Schizosaccharomyces pombe: one gene and its partners. The gene in region 4 interacts genetically with the main gene of each other region. Each region holds a gene or a part of one and is shown on either strand. Other genes may lie near its edges. The genes, in order: cdc10, pof3, mad2 and cds1.

The links.
Region 1: of cds1 (region 4) and cdc10, changing one suppresses a phenotype caused by changing the other (phenotypic suppression), as found in Schizosaccharomyces pombe (2 studies listed by BioGRID).
Region 2: mutations in cds1 (region 4) and pof3 impair growth when combined (synthetic growth defect), as found in Schizosaccharomyces pombe (2 studies listed by BioGRID).
Region 3: mutations in cds1 (region 4) and mad2 impair growth when combined (synthetic growth defect), as found in Schizosaccharomyces pombe (2 studies listed by BioGRID, with this or other methods).

The regions. Positions count from the first base shown.
Region 1 is NC_003423.3:2,760,241-2,765,746, forward strand, and holds cdc10 (DNA-binding transcription factor, MBF transcription factor complex subunit Cdc10), read right to left. Parts: upstream 3,561-5,506; 5' UTR 3,351-3,560; coding exon 1,047-3,350; 3' UTR 926-1,046; downstream 1-925. Other genes in the region: GARP complex subunit Vps52, read left to right, coding at 1-925; mmp2 (endopeptidase catalytic subunit), read right to left, coding at 4,075-4,225, 4,293-4,442, 4,515-4,756; PAN complex subunit Ppk26, read right to left, coding at 5,080-5,127, 5,234-5,311, 5,359-5,506. UniProt on the Schizosaccharomyces pombe protein: Major component of the cell cycle transcription factor complex MBF (MCB binding factor, also known as DSC1), that controls G1-S phase specific gene expression. Involved in the control of rRNA production, via interaction with pol5.
Region 2 is NC_003421.2:1,344,717-1,348,947, forward strand, and holds pof3 (F-box protein Pof3), read right to left. Parts: upstream 2,560-4,231; 5' UTR 2,412-2,559; coding exon 678-2,411; 3' UTR 562-677; downstream 1-561. Other genes in the region: mitotic cohesin complex non-SMC subunit Rad21, read left to right, coding at 1-342; dolichyl-diphosphooligosaccharide--protein glycotransferase subunit Wbp1, read right to left, coding at 3,106-3,522, 3,653-4,231. UniProt on the Schizosaccharomyces pombe protein: Has a role in substrate recognition in the Skp1-Cullin-1/Cdc53-F-box (SCF) ubiquitin ligase complex. Required for the maintenance of telomere length and transcriptional silencing at the telomere. Also required for chromosome segregation.
Region 3 is NC_003423.3:3,292,440-3,295,756, reverse strand, and holds mad2 (mitotic spindle checkpoint protein Mad2), read right to left. Parts: upstream 1,483-3,317; coding exon 1,413-1,482; intron 1,372-1,412; coding exon 1,225-1,371; intron 1,179-1,224; coding exon 784-1,178; 3' UTR 562-783; downstream 1-561. Other genes in the region: nrl1 (NRDE-2 family protein), read right to left, coding at 1,725-1,891, 1,936-2,846, 2,885-3,317. UniProt on the Schizosaccharomyces pombe protein: Feedback control that prevents cells with incompletely assembled spindles from leaving mitosis. It interacts with the anaphase promoting complex/cyclosome (APC/C) thereby inhibiting APC/C-dependent proteolysis, a step required for exit from mitosis.
Region 4 is NC_003421.2:738,804-743,122, forward strand, and holds cds1 (replication checkpoint kinase cds1), read right to left. Parts: upstream 2,536-4,319; 5' UTR 2,428-2,535; coding exon 2,170-2,427; exon of another isoform or gene 2,079-2,169; coding exon 2,030-2,078; exon of another isoform or gene 1,963-2,029; coding exon 1,931-1,962; exon of another isoform or gene 1,886-1,930; coding exon 1,801-1,885; exon of another isoform or gene 1,733-1,800; coding exon 1,473-1,732; intron 1,408-1,472; coding exon 1,198-1,407; intron 1,160-1,197; coding exon 951-1,159; exon of another isoform or gene 879-950; coding exon 599-878; 3' UTR 558-598; downstream 1-557. Other genes in the region: THO complex subunit Tho3, read right to left, coding at 1-46, 90-363, 426-452; cab5 (dephospho-CoA kinase), read left to right, coding at 2,942-2,978, 3,027-3,700; ribosome biogenesis protein Urb1, read left to right, coding at 4,201-4,231, 4,274-4,319. UniProt on the Schizosaccharomyces pombe protein: Has a role in the DNA replication-monitoring S/G2 checkpoint system. It is responsible for blocking mitosis in the S phase.

The DNA of each region.
Region 1 (5,506 bases), on a different chromosome or scaffold from region 4:
GATGAATTGGTTTTATCTATACCACTTCGAACAGTACTCTAGGTTTTTGGACAAAGTTCATGTCCTTAAGGGAGAAACTATTCGCGTTGAAGAGGATCGGAAAGGACTCTTCAACCTTTCCAAAGGAGCACAACAATCTTACGGGAATCAAATGCTCTCAGTAAACTTGCGCCCTCAGGATTTTGATATGAACTCTGTGTTGACAGCATCTACAATGCATCATATTGAATCTTCCCCACAATATATTGAACGTGTTTATTGCTCATGGGAATTAGTCTTGACGGAACACGTCTCTTCTGAATATGCTTTTTTGCTGGAGTACTTTAACCTCTCTAAAGATCAGCAGGCTACCGTTTTTGCCGCTATCTTTGAAAAAACTTTACATTTTTCACGCAAATACATTACAGGATTGATATCAAGCAGTATCGATTGCATAGGTATTTTGAAGTCCATTCGTTTTACTCAAAAATTAGCTTTACAGGCGCAAACTAATATAGTGCCTGTTATTGAGCCACACTATAACTCCATGATTCTTTTTCTGTGGCCTCGCTTTCAAGCTGTCATGGACATGCACTGTGAGTCACTCCGTAAAACTAACTTATCTGTGAAGCCAGAAGAAATCACTTCGCGACCTCATCCACTTTCGCAGCGAGTAGCTGAACTACTTTATAGCCTTTCGATGCTAAGTGTTAATGTCGTAGAAGCCGAGCCTGTTGCACGAAGTGCTTCAAGACTAGCTCAGGATTATGTGAGCATGTTACAAAACCTGTGTAAAACAGTTAATGACAAAAGGAGACAAAGTAGGTTTTTGTCCAATAATTATACCCTCATTTCGACTGTTCTTAGCGGCGTATCGGGAAATTTAGCTATAGAGCAAAAAACATATTTCGAAAAGCTTAATGAAAATTTAACTAATTTCCAATAGCCAAGATTATTAACATATAATAAATTACGTTTTATTCATTTGGTAGGATTCTATATTAAGAAAAAAATTAAAGTAGTTAATTATTTCAGGACACTTTAGTGGTAAACCACAAAAAGCAATATTATGCTTGATGTTCTTTAACAACACGTAAGAATCCAGCAACTCGACCCATATCTACTTCTCCCTGTTGACCGTCACTTTCCACGGCTTGTAACAAACTTTCCAATAATGAATCCACTCGAGATTCATCGACACCGGTGCATAGGGAAACAACCCGACGGCACTTTGATTTTATGTTGGAATTTCGTTGCCAAAGTTTGTTCGCTAATTCGTTTAATCTGGCTTCATTTCTCTCATAAGCAGCAACTTGAAACTTCAATTCAGCAATAGATAAATTTTTGTTGTTGTTTTCATTGACAGTAAAAGGAGCGTCAGCATCCAATGATAATGAATCGTGTATTCCATTGGGATCAAAAGATTCATAAAGATTACTTAATTCACTTTTCTGTTCTTCGATCGAAGTCATAAGATTTTTACAACGTTGCCTTAATTCAAGAAACAAAGTTCTTTGCGTCTCGGACACGTGTAGTTGTTCACGAAGATCGGACAGCTTTTTTGTAGATTCACGCAATTGGGTGTAGGCTGAGTCAATCATAGACTGTTTTGCAGCCATTTCATCCTGAAAATCTTTATCCAGAGAAGATATTACATCGGTCACAGAGGCGATAATGTCTCTACTCTTTTGACGAGGAGGGACAGCAGTCTTTTCTTTGCTGGACAGATTTTCACTCATAAGGGAAACTTTTGTTTGTTTTGAGTCTTCGGGTTGTTTTAATGCGTTTTCAACAAAAATTCCAAAATTTGCTACGCTTAACCCTGCACGATTAGGAATATAAGCGGAAGCTCCGGCTTGCATTAAAACTTCAACAATGTTCTTATTTCCAATTCTTGCTGCGATATTTAAAGCTGTATCCCCATTTTTATCTTGATGATTTAAATAGTTTATGAAGTCTTTCAGCATATATCCGTTGTTACCACTTGCATGTTTCTTTGCCCAATTTAATAAGGTTTCTAAGTAATATCTCGATGCTGAACCTCGGCCTTTTATACCTGCAGTAAGACAAATGTGATGAACGACGGTCCGTCCAGCTCGATCTGTACAGGGAAGAGATGCGTAAAGCAAGTCTAGTAAATCACCAAAAGAGTTCTGATTGAGATGATTGGTTACCAAAACCGATCTCATTAATGCCGTTTCTCCTGTGAGGTTGCCACGTAAAGGATTAGCTCCTTTATGTATTAAGGCTTGTAACAAAGGCATTTTGGCAACGGCTGCTGCCCAGTGCAGAGCGGCGTGTCCAAGTTCGTCAATGGGGACATCCAAATCTAATGAGTCCGACAGCTTTGCTTCTAAGGCGCTGGAATCAGCAAAGTTTACATCTAAAAAGATAGAGGTCAAAATGTCTTTTGATGTATGATAATCCTGCATAATATTCTGATCAAGTGGAGGAAGACTAGAAACCAAGGATACAAAAGAAAGTGAATGGTTCAACCTTGGCGTATCTGGAAACAATGAAGAGGCCTCATTATCATTTAACTGTGAGGAGGGATGTAAGTCTTCATCACTGACATCAATTCTATGCCGTTTTAAACGCTGTTCAAGGATAGGTGGAGAGGTGGAGAGGTAATTGTTAGAGCGTTTAACATTTTGGCTATCAATTTGAGTTAAAGGTAGTAAGAAAGAGGAAGAAGGTGAAGGTGAACTCTGCATATTGTTTATAGTGTGCACCCCATTCTTTGAAGACTTGCTAGGGTTTGAAAAATTATGATTCCTCAAAGGGGATCGCGTATTAAAAGAAGAAGTATTTAAATTTTTGGAGATTGAAGAACTTTCGATTTGTTGCTGCTTTGAAAATTTGGGGAATAAATCAAGATTAAAAGAAATTAATGGTTGTAAAATTTCATAAACCCCATATCGCTTTGCTATAGAAATTGCTCGATCATATGGAACCCATACTCCATCTATTTGAGGGTGTTTGGAGTCAACATTCTCATAGTCCCCACTCTCGATAATATCATCCAATTCTTTGGCGTTTTCAGATGACGAAGTACCAGCAAGTCGAAGTATTTGAGAGATATTAAAGTAAGAATCTGGACATCTTCGAAGAGCAACATTATCCCCACAGCTAAGCTCCATATATTTCATGCCTGAACATTCGACAGCATACAATTCTACGGGTCGGCCATCACGTAAAACTTGGGAGTTAATAAAAATCCTTGAACTAGAGTCTTTTAAAGTAGATGAATCGTTTAGTTTGTTTATATTTCTGTTTGAAAGGGGTTGTGATGGCTCATCCTCTGGGCGTTTTTGGTATGAAAAAGAATCGTTCCCCAGCTCAAACTGGCGAATAAAATTGGCTGAAGCCATTATAGTATATTAAAATAAAAAATGCCGAAAAAATATCGAATTTTTTATAAAGGGCAGCACGTTTTTCTCGAAAATAAGGGTGCTGAACTGACCATGAAAGAAGACTCGAGCTCCTCACCACTTGGTTTGTTTAAGAGATTGTGAATTCCTTTCTTTTTCAAATAAATAGAAGTAATTTTTTCGGATTTCGTGTTATACACAAATTCGCTCTGGGAAGGTTCACGCAGCTGTATACATTTGGTACGGCGTTAGACCGTATTCGAAGTAACGATATATGAGGCTTCCTAAGGAAAACAAAGGACTACTTCAATGTTCGTTTCTTCTGGGGGTTTTATTTAAAGGCTACTTAGAAATGGAATTCTTTCTCATTTCAAATACCCTGTTGAAAAATTTCCAACTTTGCTATACTCAACGACTTTACTGTTTCGGGATATGCAAAAGAGACGGATTTTTCAGTCAATTCTAATTTTCCCTAAATAAAAGTTTTGATGTTGAGTATGAAAAAATTATATTTTTTTATTGGTATTTCTAATACAAAGTAGCTTCCAACTTCCATCTTTTTCAAATAGGTAAATAGATAGACATATTAATGACGTCATATATAGAACGCGACGCGTCGAAATAAATTAAATTTAAGGATAACGTGTTCCTTAAAAGAAATGTAAATAAGCACCAACCAGCATGGAACTAAACTGTCAAGGAAACAGGTTCACTGTGGTGCAGCTTACTTAACAGAACGTTTTCCACTTAAAAACACTGCATTCTTTCGGAAACCTTCATGATCAATACGCCCTGCACGAGAGAAGGGAAACAAAATTGCAATCACTTTGGCAGTGATGAGTCCTGTCGATACTGGGCCAAATTTGTTACTATCACTGTAAACTAGTTAATATCTCTATAGAAGAAAACGAAAAAGTAAAAAAACAATTGTTGGAAACCTACATAGAATGAAATTGTTCATCGCCTTCGACCCACACATGTCCCTCGGGAACGGGTACTAATGACAACTTTTTAGGAGGTCTCGTTTTCATGATATCGTATTCTACTCCTAGAACTCTTTTTACCAATAGTTCCTCTGGGTTTTCTGGAGAGCTTGTTGCTTATTAGTAACGATAAAAAGGGAAACTCAGTACCGAAAGACCCTGCAACGATCCAAGAACTTACCGTAGTATAACTACATCTCCTCTTTTGTAATCCTTATTCCATTTCCAAAGTAGTACCCTATCTCTCTGCAGCATGTTTGTCTCAGGGTTAAAGGCTGGTTTCATAGATCTACCTTCAATTGTACCGACGCTGACTACATGTTGTTCAACGAACATTAATACGGGTACCCATAGGGTAATTCCGACTAAATTTTTAAAAAATACTGATTTAAAAGATTGATTTCGAACGAAAGGGTTTGCCATTTTTTGAGGACAACTGCTAAACTCTCTCCTCTAAGAAGTTTATGATTAACCGTCTGTATGTACCTTAACAAGCATGGGAGTTTCCGTAATTAATAATTAAACCAGGAAAACGTATTAATGAATTTTATCTGATAAGTGTCAGGCTTCTATTCCTGATCGTTTTTGTTTCAATACGGTGTGTTGCAGTAGGTAATTCAAAACCACATTAAGCTTAGCTTCCTTCTAATATTATTATAGCGAAAACTATTATTTACTTAAATTAACAACCATGGTAATAGATACAAAAAAACAAATAAATATTCTGTAAAGAAAAATGTTTTATTTTAAGAATTTATTTCCATTTCGTAAACGTTGTCCAACCAAGCTTTTAGCTACATTTGTTATTGTTAGTAATTTTGCAAACAAACAGGCTATATAGTGTGGAAAAGTAGTCTAATTTACTAAGCACCCACTATGGCTTTTTGAGCAAATACTTACCTCCCCATAAGAAACTGAAACACAATCAAGTTCATCTCGGGAAATTAATGCGATGGCTTGATTTATACCGGCATCAAGCTAATGAATTAATAAATGCAATAATGAGAAAAATGTAAAAAACTTACCTTTCCCAGGCGATTCAGCACTTGATATAAATCTATCACAGGACACTCATCTTCATCTATCTGATGGAAAAGATAATCTCGTAATAAGTAGATTAATGAAATTTCTTTTTCTCGTGCGATAGGATATTCACGAGAAGCTCTATTATTA
Region 2 (4,231 bases), 610 kb from region 4:
TTGGAATCAGCCGATGATTCACTTTTTGACGCTCCTCCCGTAATGCTGGACGAGGCCGATTTGCTGGGAAGCGAACGATTGGACTCTTCGGTATCTGAGGCCCTTCCTAGTTCACAAACAGCCAAAGATTCTCTACGCAATAAGTGGGATCCTTATACTGAAGGTGAAAAAGTATCCTTCCAAACTCTTAGTGCGGGATGCAATAGAGAGGAAGCTGTTCAACTTTTCTTTGATGTCCTCGTTTTAGCGACGAAGGATGTTATATCTGTCAAGCAGGATGTTGCCATTCAGAACGAAATCACGCTTACTGCTAAACGTGGAATGCTACTTTCATCACTATGAGAGGTCGGTTAATATTTTTTCAAAATCCAATTAGATCTATAAATAAGTGTGAATACTTACACGAAATAGATTTTTATGACAGTAATATTGTTCATTGCTTTCTTTTATCTTTATTTTATTTTTGGAATCACGAGTTGTATGTCTTTCTTTTTCCGAGTTACGATATTACTGTTGGATGTATGTAATATTATCAGCTCAACACAAAGTTATGATTAGAAATAGCTTACGCGCTTTTTAATTTATTCTCAATGATTGATCTATCTCTTAAAAATCTTCCTTTCAATGCGATGATACGGGTTTACTAGGATTGAATATATAAAGACAATATGATCATATTATATTAGGCGTATCTTTTTTGTACCCAATGGTTGAGAATTTGGAAGCGAGGAAGCTACGGTAACTTGCATACCTTTGGAGCGCGCCCAATCTATTGCATCTCTAGAAACAGAATCACAATTAATAATATCTATACGTTTTAATTCTTTCAGTCCTCGTAAAACTGCTATAAATCCCGATCCATCGAGGGATATTGAATTTGAAAAGTTCACATACTTTAGATTTGGACAACAATCAGTAATGTGTATTGCATGCTTATTTTGAAGAGCAACGTTATCAGGAATCTCAAGATGCTCAAGTTCCGGTAAAGATGCAAATATTTCAAAGAAATGGGGGGCCAATGCTAGCGAATCGTGTAGAACCAGCTTTTTTAGTTTGTAACAAGAAGTCAAAAATTTGACAACATTATCGATATCATTTTGAGATAAACGAAGATAAAGAAATAACTCTAAGTTGATTAGTGATTCCATCCGGACATTTGTAGGGAATAAATATGGACATAAAATTGTAGATGCAGGATTGCAGGGTTTCACAATTAACGTGGTAAGAGATTGAGGAAGGAATGCTAGATCTTTAACAGTATTCGATACTCCTTCATCAATGATAATTAACGATCGGAGATTAATTTTATATTTTTTTATTGCAGCAACTAGGTCTGACTGATATGAGGCTTCCAGATATTCTAAATATGGACTGGCAGACAGCAAGTCTTTAAGAAATTGCTGTTCTTTATGGTGAAAGGGAAACTTTTGATTTCGGATAAACGTCAAAGATTTAAGAGCCAGCGGTACAGATTCTGCATTAAAGAGTTTATCCCAATCCATAGAATCAAATATCAAATCGGGAATTAAGTCAACAAGCTCAACCTGCTTGAGTTTCTTACAGCAAGATAAAATCTTAGAAGCTATGGAAAATGTTATAGGAGTAGCACAATAAAAGTAGTGAAGTTCAGAAAATGGCGTCCAAATTGTATACAATTTATCCGTTGACTGAGTGTGGAGAGGTGAAATGGTTTTGTAGACTTTAAGTGATTTGACTGAACGAAGTAAGGCTTTGGTAGGTGTTAATATACCAAGCTTCTCTAAGCCAATTACTTCCTGTATATTGTCTTTTGAATAAACAGAGTATCGAGCAACAGCCATAACGTTTCGATCTCTAGAGTTTACACTTCGAGGAGAGGCGCATGAAAAGTCTAAGCAACAAAATAAGCTAGGTTCTTTCTTAATACAGTCTCTCCAGTGTTTGCAGACTTGCATACACTGAACAATACTTTTGAAATTTAGTTGCTGTAGAATACATAATAGGACTTCTCGGGGAAGAATGCGAAACAAATCTAGTACCGGCCTGGTCCGAAGAATTCTTTCATTCAATCTTTGGCTTACTTTTTTTAATACCGGTCTCAAGGGATCCATTTTATGCACCATTCGCAGGCCTTGCGTATACAATTGATCTGCTTTCTTATCAAAGCCGTCAAGCTGTAAAAGTTTTCCCAAGCGTAGGTAACCTCTAGCATTTCTTGCATTCAAATGAATCATCCGTTTAGCATCAAGTTCTGCTTGTGAGTATTGACCTGACTTTTCGTAAACTTGAGCCCTTAGTTCAAACAAGTCAATCGTAGGATTGGGCTCCTGTTCGATGGTTTTAGTAATGAATGTCAATGCATCTTCAAACTTCCTTTTAGAGAGATATTGCTGGGTCTTCTCCTTTATTGCTTTTACTTGATAGTTATTCATGAATCCAAATCTTAATTTCTATACCCAACGATTTATTTTTTCTATACATAAACATAAACCTCCCATATAGCTTCCAATGAACCGTATTTTAAGAACCTCGATATCCTTTTTGAGGTATATATTATGCTTTCGTAGTCGCAAGCTTTATGGAGTAAGTTAGAATTGTTAAAGGATAGTTAAAGCTAGCGCCTTCAAATTTCATTTAAACAGAAATTGAATGTGCAAAAATACTAATAATAAGCATGTAACCAAAAGTTTGGAAAAAAAAGTATCTACTTATTTGTTATGCTTTTCATATGTTAAAACACGTAAACAATCTCAAGCAAAATTAGCATACGGTAATCGATCAAAAAATATTTGGGTTTAACTATTGAGTACAAAACAATAAAGTGATTAAAAGATAAAGCAAGGATAGCTTCTTATATGGTGTTTACTATTTTGCACTGAAGCCTATACCATATACGACTCATCGAAAATTAAAGTAATCGCACTCAACAGCATACTTCTTTACATTAGCTATGAAATTTAATGGAAATCGAGAACAAATCGAAATTATGCAGTTTTCGCTTTTTTTTCAGAACCCAGTAGGAACAAATGATTCATTAGCGCCAAATATGGCCAACATCATTATATTATAAAGAGAGTATTTAGGCAGCTGATAAAAATATTTCAGTTGTCAGGTTACTCATTTAAACTAATTTTGTTTTTTGGCAGAAGGAACGACAGGTTTAGCGGGTTTTTGGAGAAGCCAAATTCCACAAAATAATAAAAAGGCACCCAATACAGAGAAACAAGAGGCATAGTAAGGATAGGCGTGAGGGAGGAATCGAGGGAACTCATTATGAAAGAATTGACGAAGTGTAAAGGTAGATTTCTCTTCAATAGGAGTAAGGCCAGGACGCTTGTATTCGATTTTAAATGTAAAGTCGCCGTAGTGGTCAGGCGCAACTAACACAGCTTCATAATGTTGAGATGTTTGACTATCCGATGGAACTGGAACGAGATTGACACGATAGTAAGGGTCCAACATGATAAGTTCCAATTGAACATCATCTGCAACGTATGGAGTTTGCTGACCGTCTTCTAAAAGAGATATGTCGATTGAGAAAATCTAAACGTTAGTACTCTTGAAAGAGATAAAATATTGTGCTGCTCAAGTACGCTTCAAACAATATACTTGCTAAAATTAAATTATGACATAATATCAATAAAGGCTTTTTAAATACAAACAAAAAACTTACCATTTCATCTTTAATACGATAACAAGAAGCATTGCGAGACTCTAATGGCTCAGCGACCTTTCCATAAGTCATGTTAGTGGCCTGCAACACACCCTTGCGCTGGAAAACCCAATTTGTCAAATCACGAGCAAAAAGAAAATTAGATTTGGAAAACGAGGGGCTTTGGGGAGACAAATATTCATCTTTTAACATATCGATACTGCCACTAAGACCAACACGTTCGCCGGTGCTACTTTGCAAAACACTGACCAAAAACAGTTGAGTGCCAGCAGCCCAAGGATTCTTTGAGACCTCAGCCTCAGTTTTGGTGTTATAAATATAAGAGGTTGGATTACCACGAAGAATAGGTTGTGTCTGTGGATTTGGACCTAAATAATGGCCAATCCCTTTATATAAAATAGGGCCAGCAGCCCGGGTCTCATCAGAAATGATATATGGGTTTTCCGATATTCCATCCAAGAGAATGATATCGTCAGAACCTTCAGCGTGATTAAAATGATCAACAACGACAGATTGACGTTCGGCCAGAAACATATCCAGTTGTCTTCCAAGCTCCCTTATTCCTTCGGGAAGTTGAGA
Region 3 (3,317 bases), on a different chromosome or scaffold from region 4:
CAGAAATCCTCAAGCTTTTAAGAATAAATCTTTAAGAAATTTCAAAAAAAAACTAGATAGCCCCAAAATTCAAGAAGCAAAGAGAAAAGAGGAACCGTCCAAGTCTTGGTATTCTCTGAGGAAACGATGATTCACACTCAGTACTAGTAAAGGCTAAGTAACTGATGAATAGATGTCATACATACTGAATCGTTATTAATAGATAACGCGAGTTAATGTTTATTAGTGATAATGTTATTAAATACGGAAAACTCCGTTAACAATAATATTCCAGCTTCTCAACAGTCTTAAAAAAATTGAGGAACACGTCTTGACTAAATTAGAATTTCTAACTTTGATATTTAAAATGATATACACATTGTTCAATTCTGTTAAATTATTTGCTACTGTGTTCATTTTGTAGTCAGAAACCTACCTCAAGAGATGAATGTCGTTACCTTGGCATATAGAATCTTACCTCGCAAATGCTACCATCAGTTTAAAATGTTGATTTACTGCCGCAAAGTTTCAATGAAAACATCATTGCGAGCTGTTGCTATAGTGTATTTTGTTTAATGAATAAGAGAAGATGATTATATTTTAAAGAATGCAAAAGTATTATTAAATAAATGGATAGAATAGAGATGCGTCACAAAATTATAAATATTGGACATTAAAACAAACATAGGATTCACCGAATTATAGTTAAACAATATGGCCGGAATTTTGAGATTTATAGAACACATCAAAGCTTTGTTTTCTATTATCTCATCTAATAGGTAAGGATCATGCCAAAAAAAACAACTAAGGATTCACTCGATATGCAACTTGACAATCAATTTTGTGCATACTCGTACTAAAACTTCGTAATTGAACTTGTTCAGCATCTCTTAAAATCCTAGGGTCACTGTCTACCCAATCTGTTGGAACTTCGCTGTCTTTATCAGCGTATACCAAAACGTTAAACGTACACTGTTCTTCTAGTTGAGGCAAAAAGGTCACTGTAGCAGTGATTTGACGAATTAGAGCTTGAATTTCTTTTTGTACTCGCAGTTCATCTTCTTTGTTGCCAATGTTCTGAAATTGATCAGCTGTGTCAACCATCTCCACATTAAACTGCCACCGCTCTAAATCTTCACCTGAACATTTACTAGTAATTACCAAAATCAGTTTTTGAATTTTTTTTGCAAACATCCATTCTAAAAATTTGTTAATTCCAAAAGTGATAATAGAACAACAACTCACTGTGTAACTGAGATACAATTTTTCGAATGTAAGTCTTGACCTCTTCATCTACACTGACAAGCATATTTAATCCATATTTCCGAACAACTTTGAAGTCTTCTGCTGGGTAAATTCCTCGTTGAAAAAGGATTGAGTTCACCGCATATTCTTCATTAAGTTAGCATGGCATATTTGAAACATTTACAAACCAAAAAATTCGCTAACAAGTTTGGAAGAACCTTTCAGTGAAAAATTCGTTCTTATGGGAACGCTAGACATGTTGTGTTGTAGATTTTTGTAATAAGCAATAGGTTGTGTAGTAATTGAGTAGGTACTGCCATGATGGTTGCTTAGAGGTACCCTTTCAACGTAAAAGCAACCATATAAGCATTTAACAAACAAAAGTGAAAACTTTAATAATAAGACTACTAAAGCATTTACGCAAACTTGAAAGTAACTAATCTGTCATTTTAAACTCATTTCACTATCTCTATCATTAAAAGTCATTGATCGTAATAATGTCAGTTTGGGGACAAAATAAGTTCATCTCCTCTTTCAAACTTTAAAACATCTCTCCTTATTTCGTTATGGACTCTAAAGCCTTTTTCCAACATGATTATATAGCAAATAATAGCCCGACTCTCCATCTCTTTTTTCAAGAGCAAGTCTATAACGTCCATACAAACCCCTAAACTTAGTCAGTGAAATGTTCTATGTTTTTAATTAACTTACCTTTATTACAGGGGCAGGAAGCCAATGCTTTGGTGGTAATCGCCGAAACCCATTCAGTACCATTTAATCGCAAATTGAGAATCTTTAAATATATTCTCCAAAACTTGGCGACGGATTTCAACTTTTCATTATTTAGAGTGATATCCAAAGTCCTTAAAAAGTACTGTGAGTTTGTTGGCTCAATCTGTTGAACGGCAACATAAAAAAGGTACCAACAAGCTGTAACAACAGCATTTGAAGCAGATTTTAAAATTTTCATAGCCCTAATTTTTGGTTTGTTCTCTTGTCTCAACTTAGATTCAAAAAATATATAAACTTCCCATATAGCCGTATTTGCACTGAAAAGTGTAACTCCCTTTTCAAAAAAAGGTCGAACCTTGGGTAGATTATAGAATTGAAGAGTGGTAGCTTGATAATAAAAAATCAATGAACAATAAGAAAAATAGCATTCCATTTCTGAAGAAGCCCCCCATCCATAGCTTTCGAATTTTTGAATGCATAAATACACACAATTATCCATTGAATCCATATCAGTACAGTGTGTCCATATAGTATAGATAAGACAAACATACAGCAATTCTTCCTTGCTGGCGCAATTTTCCAACATACCAAATAGCATTTCGGATGCTCGATTATTATCGCTAGTTAAAGATTTATCACCAGGAAACAACAGGCATTTTATAATAACTAAGCATCCTTCAGTATCATTAATAAGTAGCTTTCTAAAAGCCCAGTTTTTGTATACATTTAAATTATCAATGTAGCGCAATTGGGAAGCATGGATCTGAAAAATTGTTTTAAAAATTGTTTCAGCCATAGTAAAAGCACCACTTAAGTGTTCCAATTGAGCGTAAGTGTTCCAAACAGACACTGAACTATCGTATTTTTTGAGAATCTTCTTTACAATTTTACTGAATTTGGTTAGAAGGAAACAAAAACATCTACTTACTTCACTTGGGGTTTCTCCTCACTTAGGTTCTTCGTCTCCATTTGCTTTAAATAAATTAAATAAACGCTCGCTAAATACTCATCGTCCGCCGAAAATACTAGTTGATGAAAAGCACGCTCCATTGATTCCTTCACATGATGTGCAAGGTTGTAATCAAATAACTTGAAATTTAAATTTTTAAACGACATAAGAGAAATGAAGAGATCAATGTATGAAGGTAGTATACTACAGGGAAATTGAAAGCTGTTTTTCTCAGCTATCTGTCCATTTATAAAGGATTCACTGGAAGCCATGCCAAAAAGCAAGTTGTAAATTCCTTTGTCATAAGAAGCAAACCATGAGTTTGTTGAAATCCCCGGTGGAAAAAGAGGTACTCCGCAAAATGCAAAAAATTTATACTTGAATGCGAAAGCAATCGTTTCGCTTTCAAAAC
Region 4 (4,319 bases):
TAAATATTCTCATAGTTGCTTTCTATTTCAGCGATAGGTTTGGCGCCTGAATAAATAGTTAACAAACAGTCAAAGACTTCATTGCATACTTCTAAAGTCCCAGAAACGGATCATTTTCCCAGCATACACAGCCATTAACCGATCAGAATGCGTAGGATCCCATACTAGTTGTTCGACAAGACCATATCCTCTGTTCCCTAATTCAGTAGTAAATTTAAAATCCAAACGATCTGAATTCCAAACAAGTACTGATCCTGAAGATGAAGAACTCGCAAGTCTCGAGCCGGAAAGATTCCAGCCTAGGGAACGTATAGGTCCCTGTTGCCCTTGTAAATCTCGAGTTTTCAATTCGGGAAACTTTGGCTAAAAAGAAAAAAGAAAGTTTTAGTATTTTATGCTCTAGTTTTTATAAATCATTAACATACAAGCGATTCTGTAACTGAAGCACACATGGCAAAGATCGCGTCGAGACGTCCAAAGGGATAGTAGTACGTGGACAGAGTGGTTAGTGTAAACTTACTGTCTATTTACAATATTATAAATTTGACGGTCTAAGTATAAAAATTAATTATCATTTAGAATACTAAATATTAATAATCTAACTCGAAGAATTGAGCTGTTCGGTGGCCTCATGTTCAGACGATGATGGTGGAGTACGATGTTCGTGTGTGCTCACAGTGTAAAACCAAGGATGCTGGAGAGCTTCACTTTCAGATATTCTTTTCTCTGGATTAATTTCAAGCATCCTGTTGATTAAATCGATTCCCTCTTCTGAAATTTCGTTTTCTAATAAAGGCTCTATCGGATATGCACCTTTTGATATCAACTCAATACATTTTGCTTGTGACGAAGATGCAAAAGGAATAGACGCAGTAAGCCTGTGAATTAGTAATTGGAAAAAATTAAGGCATGAAGGTTCATTGCTAATTGATTAAAGCCGACAAACTTACATCACATATAAAACACATCCCAAACTCCATATATCAACTTTATCATCATAACCTCCGTCCAAGTTGACGTTTTTTGACTTCAAAACTTCCGGTGCTAGATAACCCATTGTCCCGCAAAATGTTTCTAAAAAGGTTCCCGTCCCATGAATAACTTTAGCCAAGCCAAAATCAGATATTTTAAGATGGAAATCATTTGTTATAAGAATGTTCTACAAGTTAGACTTTCTTATCAATAAACAAGATATACCTCGGGTTTTATGTCTCTATGTGTCACACCCTGCTTGTGCAAATGTAAAAGCGTTTCTAAAAGTTGTTTGAGAAGAGGTTTACAGTCTTGTTCGTCGATGGAGCCATTAGCAATTAAAAAATCCATAAGATCCCCACCCTCAACATATTCCATAACAATAAATAACTCGTCATCATTTTCAAAAATTTCATGGCATTGTACAACTCCTGGCTAAAAGATAAGTGTTAGCTAGGAGTTTTTCGTATAAAAAAAGGTGAACATAAAATGATACTCACATGGTGCAAAGATTTTAATATATCAATTTCTCGTTGAAACATTTCAGTAGCTCGCTTTTCCGAACTTGTCAAAAGGATTTTTCGTTTGTTGATAATTTTAATAGCATACCACTTGCCACTATTCACTTCTACCGCTAGCTTGACAACTGCAAATGTACCACTTCCAAGTGTACGAATAATTTCGTAATGACTGTTCTCGGATTTAATCATGTTTTTCTGGGAATCTCGTGAATGTTTAACTGGTACCTGGCACAAAAAAGCTATAAGACTGTAAGCAAACTTGAAGTGAATTCTACGTCAACAATCTCCTTCAGTGTAAAGGACGTACAAATTTCATCTTTCGGCACACCTAGGCCAATTCGAATTTCATCTCCGTTTGACAAGATAGTTCTACTATTCTTGGCAAGCCGTTCCTAAATGACGTCAGTAAATTGTAAACGAATTAAGCTCTCGCTTACAAAATTCAGAAATGTTCCATTAGAAGAGTGGTCTGAAATTGTTAGAAAAGGTGGAAGAGGCAGAAGACTTTAAAAGATTTTTTAATCCTTTAGACTTACCGTGTAAAAAAACGACATTCTCAGATTCATCGGAATCATTTCTATGCCCCTGGGTCATTTCGTTAGATAATTATGTCTTAAAGAGATTGAAGTTCAATTAAAACTAAACGAGTTCAGCTGGCCACTATTATTTTATATACCTGATAGATTTCAAAATGAAAGTTGCTAACTCTAGGTCCGTTTAAAACCACTTCACAAGATTTATGACGTCCAAATCTCCAAAACCCATTGTGCACATCTGTAGTAAGAGGAATCACTTCTGTCTTACCATCAAGCATGCGAGTCATAACCAATTTCATAAATACATTTTCGTTGTTAACCACCTGTTTGGCTATGTTCTGACTAACATGTAGTGGTGCCTCTTGAGTAGCCTGCGTAGCTTCTTCTGGTTCTTCCATAGTATCTTAAAAACAGAAAAACTGGATGAATTCTTTAACCATGTATATCAGTAAACACAAATAAACGTGCAAATGAGTGATCAAGCTTTTAACAGAAGTAAAAAGACCAAAGAAGCAGTTATCATGTCAGACGAGGGCTTATGATTTACTGACTTCGCTTTAAACATCGTTATAAATTTTACGATATAAAATGTATCATAAGACAATAATAACGAACTGTTGCAATACCAGATTTTTCGCGAAGCACGAGTAATATAAACAATGTTTCATCCACCTACTTTACTGTACGTTATACGTAGTGAGGATTAAATGTTAATTGTTAAGTAGTAGTAATCCCTATTTATATTTTTTTGGTATACGTGAAGGTTGCCATCTGTCAACATTCCTTTGTATTTCAAACTTCGACTTCCGCGATTGAAGACTTTGTTCTACGGCATTAAATAGTTTTCTGATCTCCTTAATTGTTACCATTATTCAAAAATCTTCTATACCAAAGCAAGGAATAAGAAATATAATGCTGATTCTTGGTTTAACCGGCTCAATTGCCACGGGTAAGTTATCAAATAACAATTGGTTTAATAGTGGTTAACCTAGTTAAGGGAAATCTACAGTTTCTCGCGAGTTTCAAGAGAAATATCATATAAAAATTATCGATGCTGATGTGTTAGCTAGAAAGGTGGTAGAACCGAATACACCTTGCTTAATAAAAATTCAGAAAGAGTTCGGTAATGAAGTATTACATGAAGATGGCACTTTGAATCGAGCAAAGCTTGGCCAGGCAGTATTTCAAGACGCAGGAAAGAGGTCACTTTTGAATTCAATAATACATCCAGCAGTACGTTTGGAAATGCTCAAAGAACTGCTTCGATGTTACGTACGGGGTTACAGCATAGTTATTTTGGACGTTCCTTTGCTTTTTGAAGCTAAAATGCAATTTATTTGCTGGAAAACGATCTGCGTGTCTTGCGATAAAAGCATTCAAAAGCAACGTTTGCTGGCACGTAATCCTGAGCTTACTGCAGAGGATGCTGAAAACCGAGTACAAGCGCAGATGCCTCTTGAACTTAAGTGTCAGCTTGCGGACATTGTAATAGAAAATAATTCGGATCTTGAGACCTTATATGAAAACATACATAATGTCCTACCTTTAATCACACCTTCCTATTTTTTTACCTTACTATGTTTAATTCTACCGCCATTGCAAATAACTTTACAAGTTATTGCCTTTGTCTCGCAGAAGAAAAAGGTATCTGAATTCAGAAAACATATATAATCCTTTTTTCCATATTCTTTAATTTCCTCGTTTGTTATTTAAGCCAATAGTCTTAATGTTTTTGCTTATAATTAGATCATTTTCATAACTTATCTCAATATCTTGCCTCGAGCTTTCTATATAAATTCACGAGTATATGTTTTATCATGATTTGAAATGAGAAATTAAATCTTTTCATGCGCATACAAATAGCTGAACACTACAATAATGATTAATGTAGAGGTTCTCGCTTAGATTTCTGGGTTTTAAATAAGAAATCGATTGCGTTCCTTCTTTCATTGTCTGTATACTTGGGTATTGAACTTGTATTAATCAATCTTTGCTACAATGCGTGACTTATATTTATGTCAAAGAATAATTAAATTTTTTTTGTTAGTTTCGTTGGGTTAGCTAATTTTTTGATTGATATATTTGTTCACGTATTTACAATTTACATGTTCGCATCCACCATCACTTGAACACCTTGTCAGTAAGTGTTCAGTAGCCAATTTTCTGGCAAAATGGAATCTGGATCTATTGATTTGGATAAGGGTGAGTCAATTTAGTCATTACAATTATGCTAACTCCATGTAGAGATAGATGAATTGAGCAGGGTTTTATTAGAGCATCCTGCTCATGT